Struthio camelus: one gene and its partner. The protein of the gene in region 1 interacts with the protein of each later gene in a biochemical or structural test. Links are inferred from orthologs where the notes say so. Each region holds a gene or a part of one and is shown on either strand. Other genes may lie near its edges.

Region 1 (7,209 bases):
CTGACTGGTGCAAGCCACTTCCCCGCACTGTTGCCCCAAGCCCCCTCTGCTACCTGCAGCAGTGGGGACCAGCGTCCGAGGACATGGCTCAGAGGGGGCTTGGCTCGGCCGGGGTCTTGGCACAGGGACGCCTGCAACGCCAGCCAGTCGCCCCAGTGCCTTCACATTCCCCCCTCCGCACTCCTGCTCTGCCAGGGACCCACTGACCGCCACGCACCAGGGACCCATCACAGCGCGTCGCCAGTGTCAGAAAAGCGACGGCAGCGCAGGGCAGGTGCTTGAATTCTCTGGGGAGGAGGCGAGAGCCCATGAAGGTGATGCCAAGCATCCTTCCACGGGGCACCACAGCCCCACGGCCAGGTGACAGCTCCTGCGAGCCCATTTCTCCCCTGCATCTCCCCGTTTCTGAAAAGACACAGCGCTTCTACATCCTCCCAGCCCTTGCGTTCACCCTTTCAAACAGCAGCTGAGGGGGAAGGCAACGGGGACACTTTTATTTTCCCAGCCCGACTGCCGGTTTCCTCCAACCAGGGACTTTCTGAGAATAACTGGGCAGCAGTGCAGGCGCCCTTTGCCGTCCCCGCTCGTCCAGCCCGCACCTGCCTGCCCGTGTCTGCGGATTAGCTTCCCCTCTGACAGCCCGGGGAACTCGCAGCCAAGTTTTGTAACCCGGGAACAAAATGCAAAGCCTGCCGCAAGGAGGGGGAAAAAAAAGCCCTTCACAAACAAACAAACCGGGGCTAGAGCTGTGCCCCTCCGAGTGTCAGTCCTCTTTGAAACAAAATAAAAAATCCCCTCCCCTCCCGCCTCCTCGGGTTCCCTGTCACTTGGGACCTGAAGTTAAAGGAATTCAACAGTTTAAAGGTTGGAGGAAGCTTTGGCCAGAGTTTGAACAAAAGGATGGTCCGTGATTTTAGCAGCATTTCACCCAACTTTCCAGTACCATGTTCCTGAGTCCCACCGTCACAGTCTCACATTCTGGGCAAATAGTCCATTTATTTCTATTCTTATTTCAGATGAACGTCCTACAGCACTTGGCAAAAAGCATTCGTTGTTTCTGGGCGTTGTTTAAACTGTCCCAGTGAGAGCAATAGCTGCAGATCTGACATGGCCTTTCCGAGCCGTGCTCAGACCATGCAGCCCTGGTCCTAGCATCCCTTTTAGGAGCTTGTTCATAGGGTGGCATCTCTGCACAGTTTCCTGGGCTGGACAACAGAGGCTACTGCCCAAGGCTGCATAACTGGCCGAGGAGGGGTCCTACGGGCCACCAGTCTGCTGGGAGGCTTGGTTGTGACAAAGGAACTGGGAAGACTTTAAGGTAGGCAACATCACCTGGGGTTTGCCATGAAGTGCAATCACTGGGGTGGGCAGAGGGCACCCGCAGCCGGCAGGAGCCTCCCCACAGGCAGGGGCTCCTGTCCGCCCTGCAGAGGGTTTCCTGCACCAGCAGCCTGGTTATTAACACTAAGTCCATGAGGTAGTTCAACAGCCACCACAGTCAAGAAGTTCCTCCTGGGTTGAGCTTTCTGCACAGCCTTAAAACCTCCCCACTCAACGAATGAAGATTGCGCCTCTACACAAGTATGTGCTACAGTACTTCTGACACTCTGCAAACAACTAGCCCGCCCGACCATTCCCAGAGCAACCTTCCACCTGTTCGCACAAGGTTTGCTGAGTTTTAGATTTCTTGCAGCCACCAGATTTTAGATACATTTTAAAAGTGGATCATTATTTTTCTTGGGGGGGGGGTTGTTTTTCCTTAGAGACAGAGAGGGAGAGAGAGAGAGAAAGGCTCATTTTTGTAACCAAGGTGTGCCACACCAGAGCCCATCACGTCTCAAAGCTACCCACTAGGCACAGTACCTTTGCAGTGCAAAAAGTCCTCTGGGTTAGGGAAGGAGCCTTCTTCACAGAGCAACTCACAGGTTTTATCCGATGCCAGGGGATAGCTGTTCTCCTCCTCATTGTAGTCACTCCTGCCGTTGCTGTTGGAGTACCCATTGGCATACATCTTCAGGGCAGACCTGCGGAGGCACAGGAGCTCCTGGAAGGCATACCTGAAGTCCGGGCTCCGGCAGTAGATCAAAGGGTTGAAGGCAGAATTGACATAGCCCAGCCAGTTCAAGAGAATGTACACGTACTTGGGTATGATGTCGTCCTGGATGACGTGCACAATGTTGACGATAAAGAAGGGCAGCCAACACAGTGTGAAGGTGCCCATGATGATGCCCAGGGTCTTGAGGGCCTTGTGCTCCTTCAAGTAGAACTTGGAGGAACGGCGGTGCCCAGTTCGCCCGTTCTGCTCCTGCTCCTTGTTCTGGATGTGAAACCTCCCCTCGCTCTTGTCTATCTTCTGCAGCTGCTTCTTGGCCACCAGGAAGACCCTGGCATACACGAAGACCATGACCACGAGTGGCAGGTAGAAAGAGATGATGGAGGAGGCAATGGCGTAAGCCTGGTTGGTGAAGAAGTCGCAGCATGTGTCCTCCTTGTAGCACAGAATGGCTTCCTCACGCTCTGCCCGGTACCAATGCATCTGGATGGGCAAGAAGGAGGTGAGGGCAGAGACTACCCACACCACCAGGATGACCACGCGTGCCTTGCTCTTGGTCAGCAGGCTCTGGTACTTGAAGGGAGAGGTGATGGCGAAGTACCGGTCCACGGCGATGACACAGAGGGTCTCGATGCTGGCTGTGACACAGAGCACATCCAGAGAAGTCCAGAACTCACACCAGAAGTTCCCGAAATTCCACATCTCCATGATGATGTGGCTGGCCCCGAAGGGCACCACGGCCAGACCCATCACCAGGTCGGCGCAGGCCAGCGAGGTGATGAAGTAGTTAGTGACGGTCTGCAGGCGCTGGAACCGGGCGATGGCGGTGATCACCAGCACGTTGCCGAAGACGATGGCCAGCACGATCACGGACATGAGGATCCCCATGCCCACCATCCACACGTCCCGCGACAGCGTGGGGTCGGCGGCGGCGCTCTGGTTGGCGCTGGCGTTGCCGCCGGGCAGCGCGGCGCCCACCGCCCCCATGGCCCCCCGCGCCGCCGCCCGCGGGGCTCGGCGAGGCGCCCGCGCCTAGGGCTGCGTCGCGGCGGCGCTGCGCCGGGCGCCGCGCATACGGCGCGGCAGGTGCGGGCGGGCTGGACGCGGGCAGGGGCACCGGGCTGCGCGGCTGGGCGCGCTCCGCTCCGCTCCGCTCCGCTCCGCTCTCGCCCGTCCCGTCCCGTCCCGCGGCGGCGCCGCGCCCGGCCCCGACTGCCCCCAGCCCGTTAGGCGCCGCGGAGCTTATAGCAACACCCCGCCGTGACATCAGGACAGCGACAGCCAATGGCGGCGGCCGCCGCGCCTCTTCCCCCCCCCCCCGGCGGTGTCCCCGCGCCCCACGCGCGTCCCCCCTCGGCGGTGTCCCCGCGCCCCACGCACGCTCCCCGCCCCGCAGTGCCCCCGTGCCCCACGCGCGTCCCCGCCCCGCCGTGGCTCGGCGCCCCACGCGCATCTGCACCCCGTGGTGGCCCCGCGACTGAGTGCCATGCCCCAAGGTGTCCCTGCACTCCCACGCACACTCCCCGCCCTGCAGTGGCCCCACGCCCCATGCACATCCCCTACCCGCGGTGTCCCCACAACCAAGCGCTCCCTGCCCCAAAGTGTCCCCGTGCCCCACGCACATTCCTGCCTCATGGTGTCCCCATGACCGAGGGCTCCCCAGCCTGTGGTGTCCCCCCGCCACGCATGCGCCCCCATTCCATGGTGCCCGCACAACTCATGCACTCCCCGCTTTACAGGGTTTTCACACCCCCCTCCCCATGTACACTACCACCCTAAGCATGCCCCTCTGCCCCACGCATCACCCCATCCCATGGTGTCACCTGCCCCACACATGTCCCCCCACTCCATGCATGCTCCCTGGCCTCCAGTGTCCATATGCCCCATGCATGCTCCCCGCCCTACGTTGTTCTCACGCTCCACACGTGCCCCTGACCTGCGGTGTCCCCACACTCCCACACCCCACGCACATCTCTGCCCCACATCATGGTGTCCACGTGCCCCACACATGCTCCCTGCCCTGCGCTGTCCCTGCACCCCATGCACAATCCTGCTCTGCAGTGTCCCTGTGATCCACACGTGCTCCTTGCCCTATGGTGTCCCTGAACCCCTTCCCACATGTGTCCTCAACCCACCACGTTCCATGTGCCCCCATCCCCCACTCACTCCCCACCACAGTATATCTGCTGCTGCTCTCAGAGAGACTTTGTGTCTGGTTGGGTGCTGGGATTTGGACTTTCCTGAGAGCTGGGTGACCCTGGGGAGCGCCTGTCCTCACAGGCAACACTTTGAGACAGGGTGTCACCCACGGTCTCCATCCCTCCCAGCCCCCAGCCCAGCACCATTCCTGCGGGGAGCTGGCCACTCCACAGCCCATGGCTGGGGCAGGCACCTGGAAGCTGGCTGGTGGGACTGTGTACTGGGTGCTCGAGGTGCAGCCCAGCCCCTAAAATTGTGGTGGTGGTTGAGCACACGGAGCGCATCCCCTGACAGGGCCAAGCATGCTGGTCGGGGGCTGGAAGGCCACACAACTGCTGCACACTGCAGTCTGCCACACTACCGCCAGACATGCTGGAGACTATCAGTCACAAGTATTTCCCTCCAAAGCAAACAAATTTGCTAAATAAGGACTAAGGAATCCTGCAAAGTCCCTTTTAACCTAAAGGGAGATAACTCCACCACTTGAGTTTCATTTCTGCCTGTGCAGAAACCATCTGGCCTCGTGCTGCCCCCTTGCAGACATACGTAATGCTTCCTGCAGTGCCCAGGGGTCTGCTGGAGATGATAGTGGAGCCTGAAGGCTGTGATTTGCACAGTAATTAAAATTATCCCATGTCAGAGAAAGGGAGAATACAAAGAGTTGCTTTTGCCCAAATTTACCCACGTGCCTTCTGGCCACCAGCTGTACCAAAAGTAACTGCATCTCAGTGCCTCCTTAGGTACCCCGCATTGTCTTTGTGCCTTCCAGAAGCAGATGTTTACGAGTCACCCCAGGCTTGTGCACATAGGACTGTCCCCCACTGCCACTTCAGGATCCAGAAATGCAAACATTGCCTTTATTAATAACAGGCTTGATGGTGGAGGACTCCTGCCTAACCTTCTTTAGCTATTAAAGGGTGAATAATTTTGGATCTCATTTGAAACACATCAACCATCAGAATTTGACAGGGCTTCAGAATTCTGCCTCATTTTTCTTTCTCACTACAAGGAAATGCAAAAGTGCTAAGTGCAAGGCACGGCTTGCAGAGGGGAGCTGCCTGCAGTTGCTGTTTCTCTTGCCCGTGCCAGCACATGGCAGAAGAGCCAGACACCTTGTCTGGTCTGGCCCTGCAAACCACTAGGTGTCCCATGTCATGCATGGACTGCGTGAGCTAAGCCTAGGGCTATTTATAGAGAAGAGCAGGTTGTACACAGAGGAAGTTTTGTAGTTTAAAACAGAGGGGAAAATGAGGTGACAGCACCAGGAAATAAGATGAAAGGCAGTTTCAGTGGTATGAGATTTCTCTCTAGGCAAGGATCTTTCTAAGTATGAGCTTCCAGTACTGCTTCCATATTCCACTTTGGCATCTGCAAGCTTTGGAGTTTTTAACAAAAAGACACATGAAAAAGAGATCTGCAGGATACCTCTTTCTACTGCAAACATGCCAAGCCTTTGGAAACCAGGGGGATTTGGGTGAGTGGAAGACTAGGAAACATTAATGACCTTAAGAAACAATAATGCCCTTAGCTAAATGAGGAGTTTCAACTGACCACTGTTGAGCTAAACAGGGCTATACTTTATATACATCTGAATCAATAGGTACAACTGCAACCCCCTGACATAAGTCATTTGCTCTCCATTGGTCTTCACTAACTTTATGCCAGCTAAGGATCTGATCCCTACATAAATATAAGCTCCTTTAGCACTTGCTTGGTGCAGTATCTCTGGCTCCTGTGCACATAGGTACCCCCACACCCCCTCTGCCCAGTGGCCAGAAGCATTCACCTTGCAGTAGAAATATTGCAAGTAACTGCTGGGGAAGTGGAGCTACAAATCAGATGCAATATTGGGAGAGCAGAGCAGAATGGGGAAGGAAAAGCACTTGTGTTAACTATACATTATATTCAACCCACTTTTCCATCTTCTTTCTTAAGAGCTGATCAGAAAACTCCAGAAGGTGATCATGATAAGTTTCTGCTAATAACCTGGTGAGTGTGCTGTTTTCTGTGGATTATGCTAAAATCTGGGAATATTCAAACAGTAAACCAAAGAGTTTTAAAAAGATTTGGCTTCCTAACAGACAAGCAAATATTCATCCTTGCACGAAGCACTGTTTTGAAAGGAGGAGAAGCAGGTTTGAGAATTCAGTAGGAAACACCAACTCTGGGACAGTCAAAGCTGATCTCTCTGCTTTGGCACAAGCGGTTCAACAAGGGCATCTGGTACATGGAGAAACCCATGCTCCCTGGTAGCATTCCTATATCCTTCTCCAGAACCTGCTTCCAGACTCTGGAAATCTCTGTGGCCCAGGGTGCAGAAATCAGCAAGCCCAGCTGCTATCTAAATATTGTGCCTTTGTTGTGCTTTATTCAAAGAGTCTTGAGCCTCTGTAGTGGTTAAGGGTGTGGTGAAGGAAGTAGAGAAAGGCTGATTTTTCTTCCTAGGTTCTGCAGCTCTTTACTTGCTTGACTAATCTTTGCTCACTTACATGAGGTGTGTCAGGGTAGACCATTGGCACAAGCTGATTTCTGCGCTTGGCTTTGCATGGTCCACATCAAATGGGACTAGTGAACACAGGTTCAAAATAAAGGCAGGATTTGGCCCCACATAAAAATAAATTTCATCACCCACAACTCAACTGTATTGCTTTTGAGATTTTCATGCCCATATCTGTGCTTTGGAGTGGTTATTAGCTTTGAAGTATGTTTGAGGTTTCTTATTTAAACAAACGTAATACCAAATCTCCAAAGAAAGGTTAGGAAAAGAGTTAAGTTTGCATTTCCTATATTGGTTGCCTGAAGTGCAAGGACTCTGCTTACTCCAGAATGCCTCCTTCTGGTCCTCTGGCTTGGAGGGTGTCAAAACAAGGCACATCTCATTTGTCTCATGCAGCACATTGCTGCCACTGACCCCGCTGCTTTGTCATCACGCTAATCTTTTCTCCTTTCATAATTGG
Region 2 (7,735 bases), on another chromosome or scaffold:
CGAGTTGGCACGGGGGAGCCCACCAGGTGGATGCTGAGCTGCCCCCCCCCCAAGCCCCCTGGGCCCCCCAGCTCACCGATCTTCTGCGCAAAGATCTTGTCGAAGGTCACCTCCCCCCGGTCCTCCAGGTACTTCTGCATGACGCTGCGGATGCTGGGGAGACGCCAGATGGGCTCAGTCCTGCCCCCACCCCAGGCCCCTGCTGCGTCTCCCGTGCCCCCGTCCCCCCAGGGCATCTCCCACGGCTCCAGGGGCAGGATACATCCCCTCGCCGGCCACCCCACCTGCACGCTTGTCCCCAGGGACCCCGGTGCACCTGACCCCTGTTCTGTCCCCGCCATGACACCCTGCTGGGCCTTGGTAAGGGGTAGCCACAGGGTGCCCCACGCAGGGAGGGCCAGGGAAGAGGGGCCCAGGCATCCGAGGGCCCAGCAGAGGCCCCCTCCACCTCCCCAGGGAAACTGAGGCAGGCAGGGCTGCAGGGTGGGAGCTGAACGCCAGGCACGGGCGCCACGGTCGGCCCAGGACACCCGGGTCTGCGAACGCCGGAGGGAAAGCGGGGCCCAGCAGCGGGAGCGTGGCGGGCTGGGACATTGGGCTGCCACGCACAGCAGGCTGTGCACTGTGCTGCGCGGGATGCGTGCGCCCGACGCCCCGCACGCTGGGCTTTGCTGCCGGCCGGGCCGTGCATGTGGCGCGCGCCAGGCTGTGCATGGCTGTGTGCGCCTGCCCGGCTGGGCGCCGGTGCCTGGGCAGGCCGGGCGTGAGAAGGGAAGTTGCAAAGCGGGTTGTGTGGGCAGAAGTGGGGTGTGTGTGTGTGTGAGATCGACACGCGTGCGGGGGCGGTGTGCACAGCAGAGAGCATCACAACTCTGCGTGCGTGTGAAGGACAGGGGGCTGGGGAAGTGTTTCAGCAGAACCAACGTGTGAGTCTGCACGTGCACCGGCTGTGCACTCTGTGTGTGTGTGTGTGCAAGTGTGTATGTGCATGCATGTGTGTGCAGCCCAGCCCTGGTGCACTCTGCACAGGTGTGCACGTGTGTGTGCATGTGCACAAGTACATGCTTGTTCAGGAGATGCAAGGCTCCAGGACTGTATGCGTGCGTCCAGGCGCTGCAGTTTGCATGTCTGGCCAGGGACACGTGTGTTGGGACAGTGTGTTTGGGTGTATGAGCAAGAGGGGCATGCACACGCATGCACGGCTGAGTGACATTGCACATGCACATGCACATGTGTTTTTGTGTGCAAGAGGTGAGTGTGCTTATGTGGATGTGCCCGGAAGGAGGCAGGGTGTGTGCACGTGTGCAGAAGGTGTGAGCGTGGGTGTGCTTACACGCGTGCAGGTGTGCTCAGGTGGTGCTTGTGTGGGAGCACAGGTGTGAGCACACGCATGTGCGTGCCCCCAGCTGCACCTGTGTGTGTACACATGTGCGTGCCTGGGAGGATGCGTACCAGAGAGGTGTGTCTGTGTGTGCGCAGGAGAGGTGTGTACCCGGAAGGATGCATACCGGAGAGGTGCGTCTGTGTGTGCACAGGAGAGGTGTGTACCCAGAAGATGTGTACCAGAGAGGTGTGCCAGCATGCGCGCCTGTGCGGGCGCGCGGACGGTGCAGCCGTGCCCGTGCACGGCGAGGACAGAAAGGGGAACTGCAGGAGCAGGAAAGTCTGGGGGCCAGACAGGCTGCGGCAGCGCAGACCGGCGCCCCGCGCCCCGTCTCCCTCGCCCCACCGGCGCTGGGCCCCGCTCGCACGTACCGCGCCAAGCTCAGGCTTGCACATGCCGCACTGAGCTCGCACACACCAGGACACCCTTGCACATGCTGTGACACCCTCGCATGAGGAGCCCTGCTTGCACAATGCCAGCGTGTGCTCTGCCACACTCGTGTGTGCCTTGCTGCCCTGGTGCATACTGTCCCCGCGCGCTGGGCTCTGCTTGCATGTGCCAGGCCATGCTTGCACGCGCTGCGCCACACTTGCACACGCTGCAGCCTGCTTGCATGCGCCAGGCCCTGCCTGCACAGGCTGCGCTTGCAGGGGTGGCATGCTGCCTGCACACCCTGTGCCACACTTGCACGTGCCAGGCCCTGCTTGTGCACACTGTGCACTGTCTGCTTGGGCCAGCCCCGCTTGCCCATGCCACACGCCTTCTGCGCTGGGCCGCACTTGTGCAGGCCAGCCCTGCTTGCATGCACCAGGGCACGCTTGCAGGCCAGGTCACCTTACACACACCAGGGCCACAGTTGCAGGCCAGCTCTGCTTGCATACACCAGGGCACGCGTGCATGCACTAGGGCACGCGTGCATGCACCAGAGCACGCTTACAGGCCAGGCCAGCTTACACGCACCAGGGCACTCTTGCACACACCAGGGCACGCTTGCAAGCCAGCCCTGCCTGGGCACGCCAGGACACTTGCACACGCCAGCTGCGCTTGCACAGGCCGGGGCACACTTGCCCACCAGCCCTGCTTGCCCACCAGTCCTGATTGCACACGCCAGGGCACTCTTGCGTGCACCAGGGCACTCTTGCAGGCCAGCCCTGCTTGCACATGCCAGGGCACTCTTGTGCGCACCAGGGCACGCTTGCCCACCAGCCCTGCCTGCACACACCAGGGCACTCTTGCAGGCCAGCCCTGCCTGCACACGCCAGGGCACTCTTGCACGCACCAGGGCACTCTTGCCCACCAGAACTGCCTGCACACGCCAGGGCACTCTTGCACGCACCAGGGCACTCTTGCCCACCAGCCCTGCCTGCACACGCCAGGGCACTCTTGCACACGCAGCTGCACTTGCACAGGCCGGGGCGCGCCTGCCCACCAGCCCCGCTTGCCCGCGCCAGGGCAGGCCGGCGCCCGGGCCCCGCTGGCACCTGCCCGCCCTGCTCGGACGCGCGTGGGGCGCCCCGGCCGCGCCGGGCCCGGTGGCCTCACCTGGGCTCGGGCAGCAGGATCTTCTTGCTGGCGCGGGCGGCCGGCGTGGCCTTGCTCTTCTCCATGGCCATCAGGTAGCTCACGTCGGCCAGCACCGCCTCCAGGTCCGCCATCTTGCCGCGGCCCCCGCCCCGCCGCCGCCGCCGCCGACCCGGCCCGGCCCCGCGGGCGGCCTGGCCCGGCCCGGCTCGGCCCGGCCCTGGCGGCGGGCGGGGGGCGGCCCGGGGCGGCGGGGCGGCGCGGCCCTCAGCGGCGAGGCCCCCGGCGGCGGCGGCGGCGGCCCTGGGCGGCCCTCAGCGGCGCGGGGCCATGGCGGGGCGGGCGGCTGCGAGCGCGAGTGTGAGTGTGAGTGAGCGCGAGCGAGTGTGAGTGAGCGCGAGCGCGGTGCGTGAGCGCGCCGGCGGGCCGGGTGCCGGTGCGGCGGCGCGGGCGGCAGGCGGGGCCCGGGGCGGCCCTGCCCCGCCGCCGCCGCCTTCCGCCTTCCGCCTTCCGCCGCCTTCCGCCGCCGCCGCCGCCCGGGACCGCGGGAGGGAGCGGGGGGGCGGGGGGGGACGGACAGCGGGGGCGCGTGTGCGTGTGAGTGTGCGTGTGAGTGTGCGTGTGAGTGTGCGTGTGTGAGAGTGCGAGAGAATGTGTGTGTGAGACTGAGTGTGTGTGAGAGAGTTTGAGTGTGAGAGTGTGTGAGTGTGTGTGAGAGTGAGAGAGTGTGAGTGTGTGAGTGTGCGTGTGAGTGTGTGTGTGTGAGAGTGTGAGAGAATGTGTGTGTGAGACTGTGTGTGTGAGAGTGTGAGTGTGTGTGAGAGTGTGAGTGTGAGAGAGTGTGAGTGTGAGAGAGTGTGAGAGTGAGTGTGTGTGAGAGAGTGTGAGTGTGAGAGTGTGTGAGTGTGAGTGTGTGTGAGAGAGTGTGAGTGTGAGAGAGTGTGAGTGTGCGTGTGAGTGTGAAAGAGTGTGTGTGAGGGTGTGTGAGTGTGAAAGTGTGTGTGAGAGTGTGTGTGAGTGAGAGTGTGTGTGAGAGTGTGTGAGAGTATGTGTGTGTGTGTGTTAGAGTGCAAGAGAATGTGTGTGTGAGACTGTGAGTGTGAGAGAGTATGTGTGAGTGTGTGTGTGAGAGTTTGTGAGTGTGTGAGACTGTGTGAGAGTATGTGTGTGAGTGTGAGACTGTGAGAGTGTGTGAGAGAGAGTGTGTATGTGAGTGTGTGTGGGTGTGTGTGTGTGAGAGTGTGTGTGTGAGACTGTGTGTGAGAGAGTATGTGTGAGTGTGAGTGTGTGAGAGAGTGTGAGTGTGAGAGTGTGAGTGCGAGAGTGTGTGTGAGACAGTGTGTGTGAGTGTGTGAGATAGTATGTGTGAGTGTGAGACTGTGAGAGTGTGTGAGAGAGAGTGAGTGTGTGTGTGTGAGAGTGTGTGTGTGAGAGTGTGAGTGTGTGAGTGTGTGTGTGTGAGACTGTGTGTGTGTGTGAGAGTTTGTGTGAGTGTGTGTGAGAGTATGTGTGTGAGAGTATGTGTGTGAGTGAGACTGAGTGTGTGTGAGTGTGTGTGTGAGAGTGTGAGTGTGCATGTGAGTGTGAGAGTGTGAGGGTGTGTGAGTGTGAAAGAGTGTGTGTGAGAGTGTGAGTGTGAGAGTGCGTGTGTGTGAGAGTATGTGTGAGTGTGTGTGTGTGAGAGTGCAAGAGAATGTGTGTGTGAGAGTATGTGTGAGTGTGTGTGTGAGAGTATGTGTGAGTGTGTGAGAGAGTATGTGTGAGTGTGAGACTGTGAGAGAGTGTGTGAGAGAGTGTGTGTATGTGAGTGTGAGACTGAGAGTGTGAGAGAGAGTGTGTGTGTGTATGTGAGTGTGTGTGTGTAAGAGAGCGTGCATGAGTGTGTGTGTGTGTGTGTAAGAGAGTGTGTGTGCATGACAGCAGGGGTGTGTGAGTGTGTCAATGTGTGTGTGAGAGACCAGGTGTGTGAGATAGTGTGTGTGTGTGAGACACCGTGTGTATGTGTGTGAATGTGTGTGTGTGTTACTCCAAGGGTGTGTGTGTTTGAGACACCGTGTGAGTGTGTGTGAGAGACGCCGTGTGTGTTTGTGTGTGTTTGTGAGACACCAGGGGTGTGGGGGTTTGTGTGTGAGAGAGTGAGTTTGTGTGACACAACTCACACACTGTGTGTGTCTCTGTGTGTGACACCATGTGAGTGTGTGCGTGACACTTGAGTGTGTGCGTGTGTGTGTGCGAGAGACACCAAGTGTGAGTGAGATGCCATGTGTGTGGTGTGTGTGTGTGAGAGTGACAGCAGGGGTGTGTGCAGGTGTGTGGGGGTGCGTGAGAGAGACCGGGAGAGTGGTGAGAGACACACAGGGGTGAGTGTGCGTGCGTGTGTGTATGTGACAGCACGTGTGACACCGAGACAGCCGCCCTGCACGACCTGTGCCGCCGGCGGGGCCGCCCTGCTCCAGCTCCGCTCCCGGCTTCCTCCCAGCTTTTAAACCGAGCCCAGCTGAGGGGTGGGAATTAAAAAAACAAAACAAAACCCCAAAACCCCTTGTGACAAGCTCATTTCTAGGGAGTTTGGCGCGTGGGGAGGGCCAGAGGTGCCAGGCCACCTCGCAGGCCCGGGCAGCGCGAGGGGCGGCAAAGGCGAAAGCCTGGGCGCAGCCACGCAGGCGGGAGCAATGACGCTGGAGGAGGTTTCGCTTCCTTTTAGCCGGCCTGAGGCAAACCTGGCAGCGGCAGCGCGGCCGCCCCGGCGGGTGGGCTGCTCCCGGGAGGGCTGCGGCGGTGGAAACTGCTGGAGATGGGGCAGAGTCGCCCACCGGACCCTCAGCTCCGCGAAGGCGAGGACCGAGAGAGGCGGGATTCAAGCGCCGTGGATTCGGCGCTCCCCGAAGGTTGCTAGCCTCGGGAATTGGGCGCGGAGGCACGCCGGCTCCCTCCAACAGGATGCTTTTCTGGAGAAGGACGAGACCCCCGGGCAGGAGGAGGGTCCCCGGAGGAGGTCGGGGCGGCGCTGGCGCGCTGAGGATCGGCTACAATACGTATCATAGCCAAATGGGCAAGTTGGGGCTGGTGGTTTGAGCCCGAGAGGAGACCCCCCGGTTGTGCGGGAGGAGCAGCCGGGCTGCCTCCAGCAGCGTTTTACGTGCCTCGGTTTGAAACGACGCGTGGAAGCAAAATGCCTTTGTATATCAAAAAGGAGGGGAACGACCCAGCTGCCCCCAAAGCAGGCTCGAAAGGGTTTGAAGGGTGACGGGAGACAGCAGCAGCAAGAGAAACCCGAGGCAAAGGCAAGGGGGCATCCCGCTACGGTGCAGTCGCAGCGCGAGCTCTTCCAGCCCGCAAGCTGGTCCGGGACGTCCCCAGCAGTCGAATGGGGGCACCGTCGGCAGCCGGGAAGGCAGGAAGTGCCTTTGCTTTGCCAGTTTGACCGTGCGTTTCGGGATAAACCCCTGCTCCAAGCAGGGCCGGTTACAGAGCTGTGCCAGCTGTGGTGCAAGGCGCTGGCAGGGCCAGCCCCAGCTGCCAAGCAAACGCGAGCGGGTGCTCGCGGCCGCATGCAGCACCAGGACGCGGCTCGACCCGCCGCCAGGGCGGGGGGCGAGCGGCCGCAGGGGACCGTTCCCCGCCGCCGCCGTCGGGTTCCCGCACGGGAGCCCGGGCGTGTGACTAAGCCCCGCGCTTCCTCTCCACCCAGCTCGGCGCGGCAGAGGAAGCCCCAGGGCCGGGCGGCCGCAGAAGCTGCGGCCTCTCAGCCCAGCCCAGCCCAGGCCTCGGCCTCTCCGCTCCCCTCTGACTCGCAGACAAACAACGGGCAGAACCGAGACGCAGGGTTATTTTTTTTTCTTTAAATTTTTATTCCAAAAATCCACCCCCAAGAAACAAAATATTTCCCTTCAGAGGCTGGTATCTTCCCTCCCCTCCCCCCCCAACATCTCTTCCATCCCTGTGGTAATCTGTTATGAGCAAAGATCCTCTCTAAAACCAGTATCGGAGAATGCTTAAAAAAGAAAAAAGAAAAATAAAACAAAAAAAAGCCAACTAGCTCCCCTCCCTCTGCCCTCAGACAAGAAACCCCCCAACCCAAACCATACCGACTGAGAGAGCGTAAGACTTGGTTTGCTTTTACCCTTAATGCTTACATTTAATTTTAAAGCACAAACATCAGAGATGGACTCTAAATCGCCAACAAAAAATATATATTTACAATATTTCTCCGGGGGGGAGGGAGGGGGGGAATCGAAACGAAACAAAAACACAACCAAACCCTTAAACAATAGTGACTTCTGTTGCAGGAGTTGTCTTTAGGGAGCAGTCTGGGTTGTTTTTAAATCACTAAGTGATTTTTATATATATATAATTCTTTTTTATCTTCTTCTTTCCTTGTGAATTTTCACCCCTCGCCCACCAAGGGGGCTGGGGTGGCCAGTTAGGTGACAAGGGTCGCACCTTGATTTCGAGTCTCTGAAGCCCCAAAGGGGGGGGTGGGGGGGGATGGCTGCCCCGGGCACCCTGCCCCTCCCCGGCTCAGCTCGCCTCGTCTGCCTCCCCGTGCTGCCCCAGAGTGGGGGGCTGCTTTCGCTCGGCCCCGAATGCGCGTGTAAATAGAGACGCTCGCTTTCCTGGCGGAGGAAGCCCAACGCCCGCCCAGCCTGGGAAGCCCCAGGGCTGGCCCAGGCCCCCAAGCCAGCTGCCCTCCCAGCTCCCGCTAAGTTTTGCCCCAACCTTTCTTCTTTCTTGTCGTGAAACTCAAAATCAATCCAAAGGAGAAAAAAAAGAAAAGAAAAAACAAAAACAAAAAATAAAAACAAAAAAAACACCAAAACTTTGATTTTT

The links.
Region 2: the proteins of ADRB2 (region 1) and GRK2 form a complex in vitro, tested with the Homo sapiens proteins (2 studies listed by BioGRID, with this or other methods). The link is inferred for Struthio camelus from reciprocal best matches to the Homo sapiens genes ADRB2 and GRK2.

Annotation. Positions count from the first base shown.
Region 1 is NC_090954.1:7,879,256-7,886,464, forward strand, and holds the start of ADRB2 (beta-2 adrenergic receptor), read right to left. Parts: upstream 3,068-7,209; 5' UTR 3,041-3,067; coding exon 1,864-3,040; intron 1-1,863. UniProt on the Homo sapiens protein: Beta-adrenergic receptors mediate the catecholamine-induced activation of adenylate cyclase through the action of G proteins. The beta-2-adrenergic receptor binds epinephrine with an approximately 30-fold greater affinity than it does norepinephrine.
Region 2 is NC_090946.1:3,108,263-3,115,997, reverse strand, and holds the start of GRK2 (beta-adrenergic receptor kinase 1), read right to left. Parts: upstream 3,086-7,735; 5' UTR 3,040-3,085; coding exon 2,927-3,039; intron 154-2,926; coding exon 77-153; intron 1-76. UniProt on the Homo sapiens protein: Specifically phosphorylates the agonist-occupied form of the beta-adrenergic and closely related receptors, probably inducing a desensitization of them. Key regulator of LPAR1 signaling.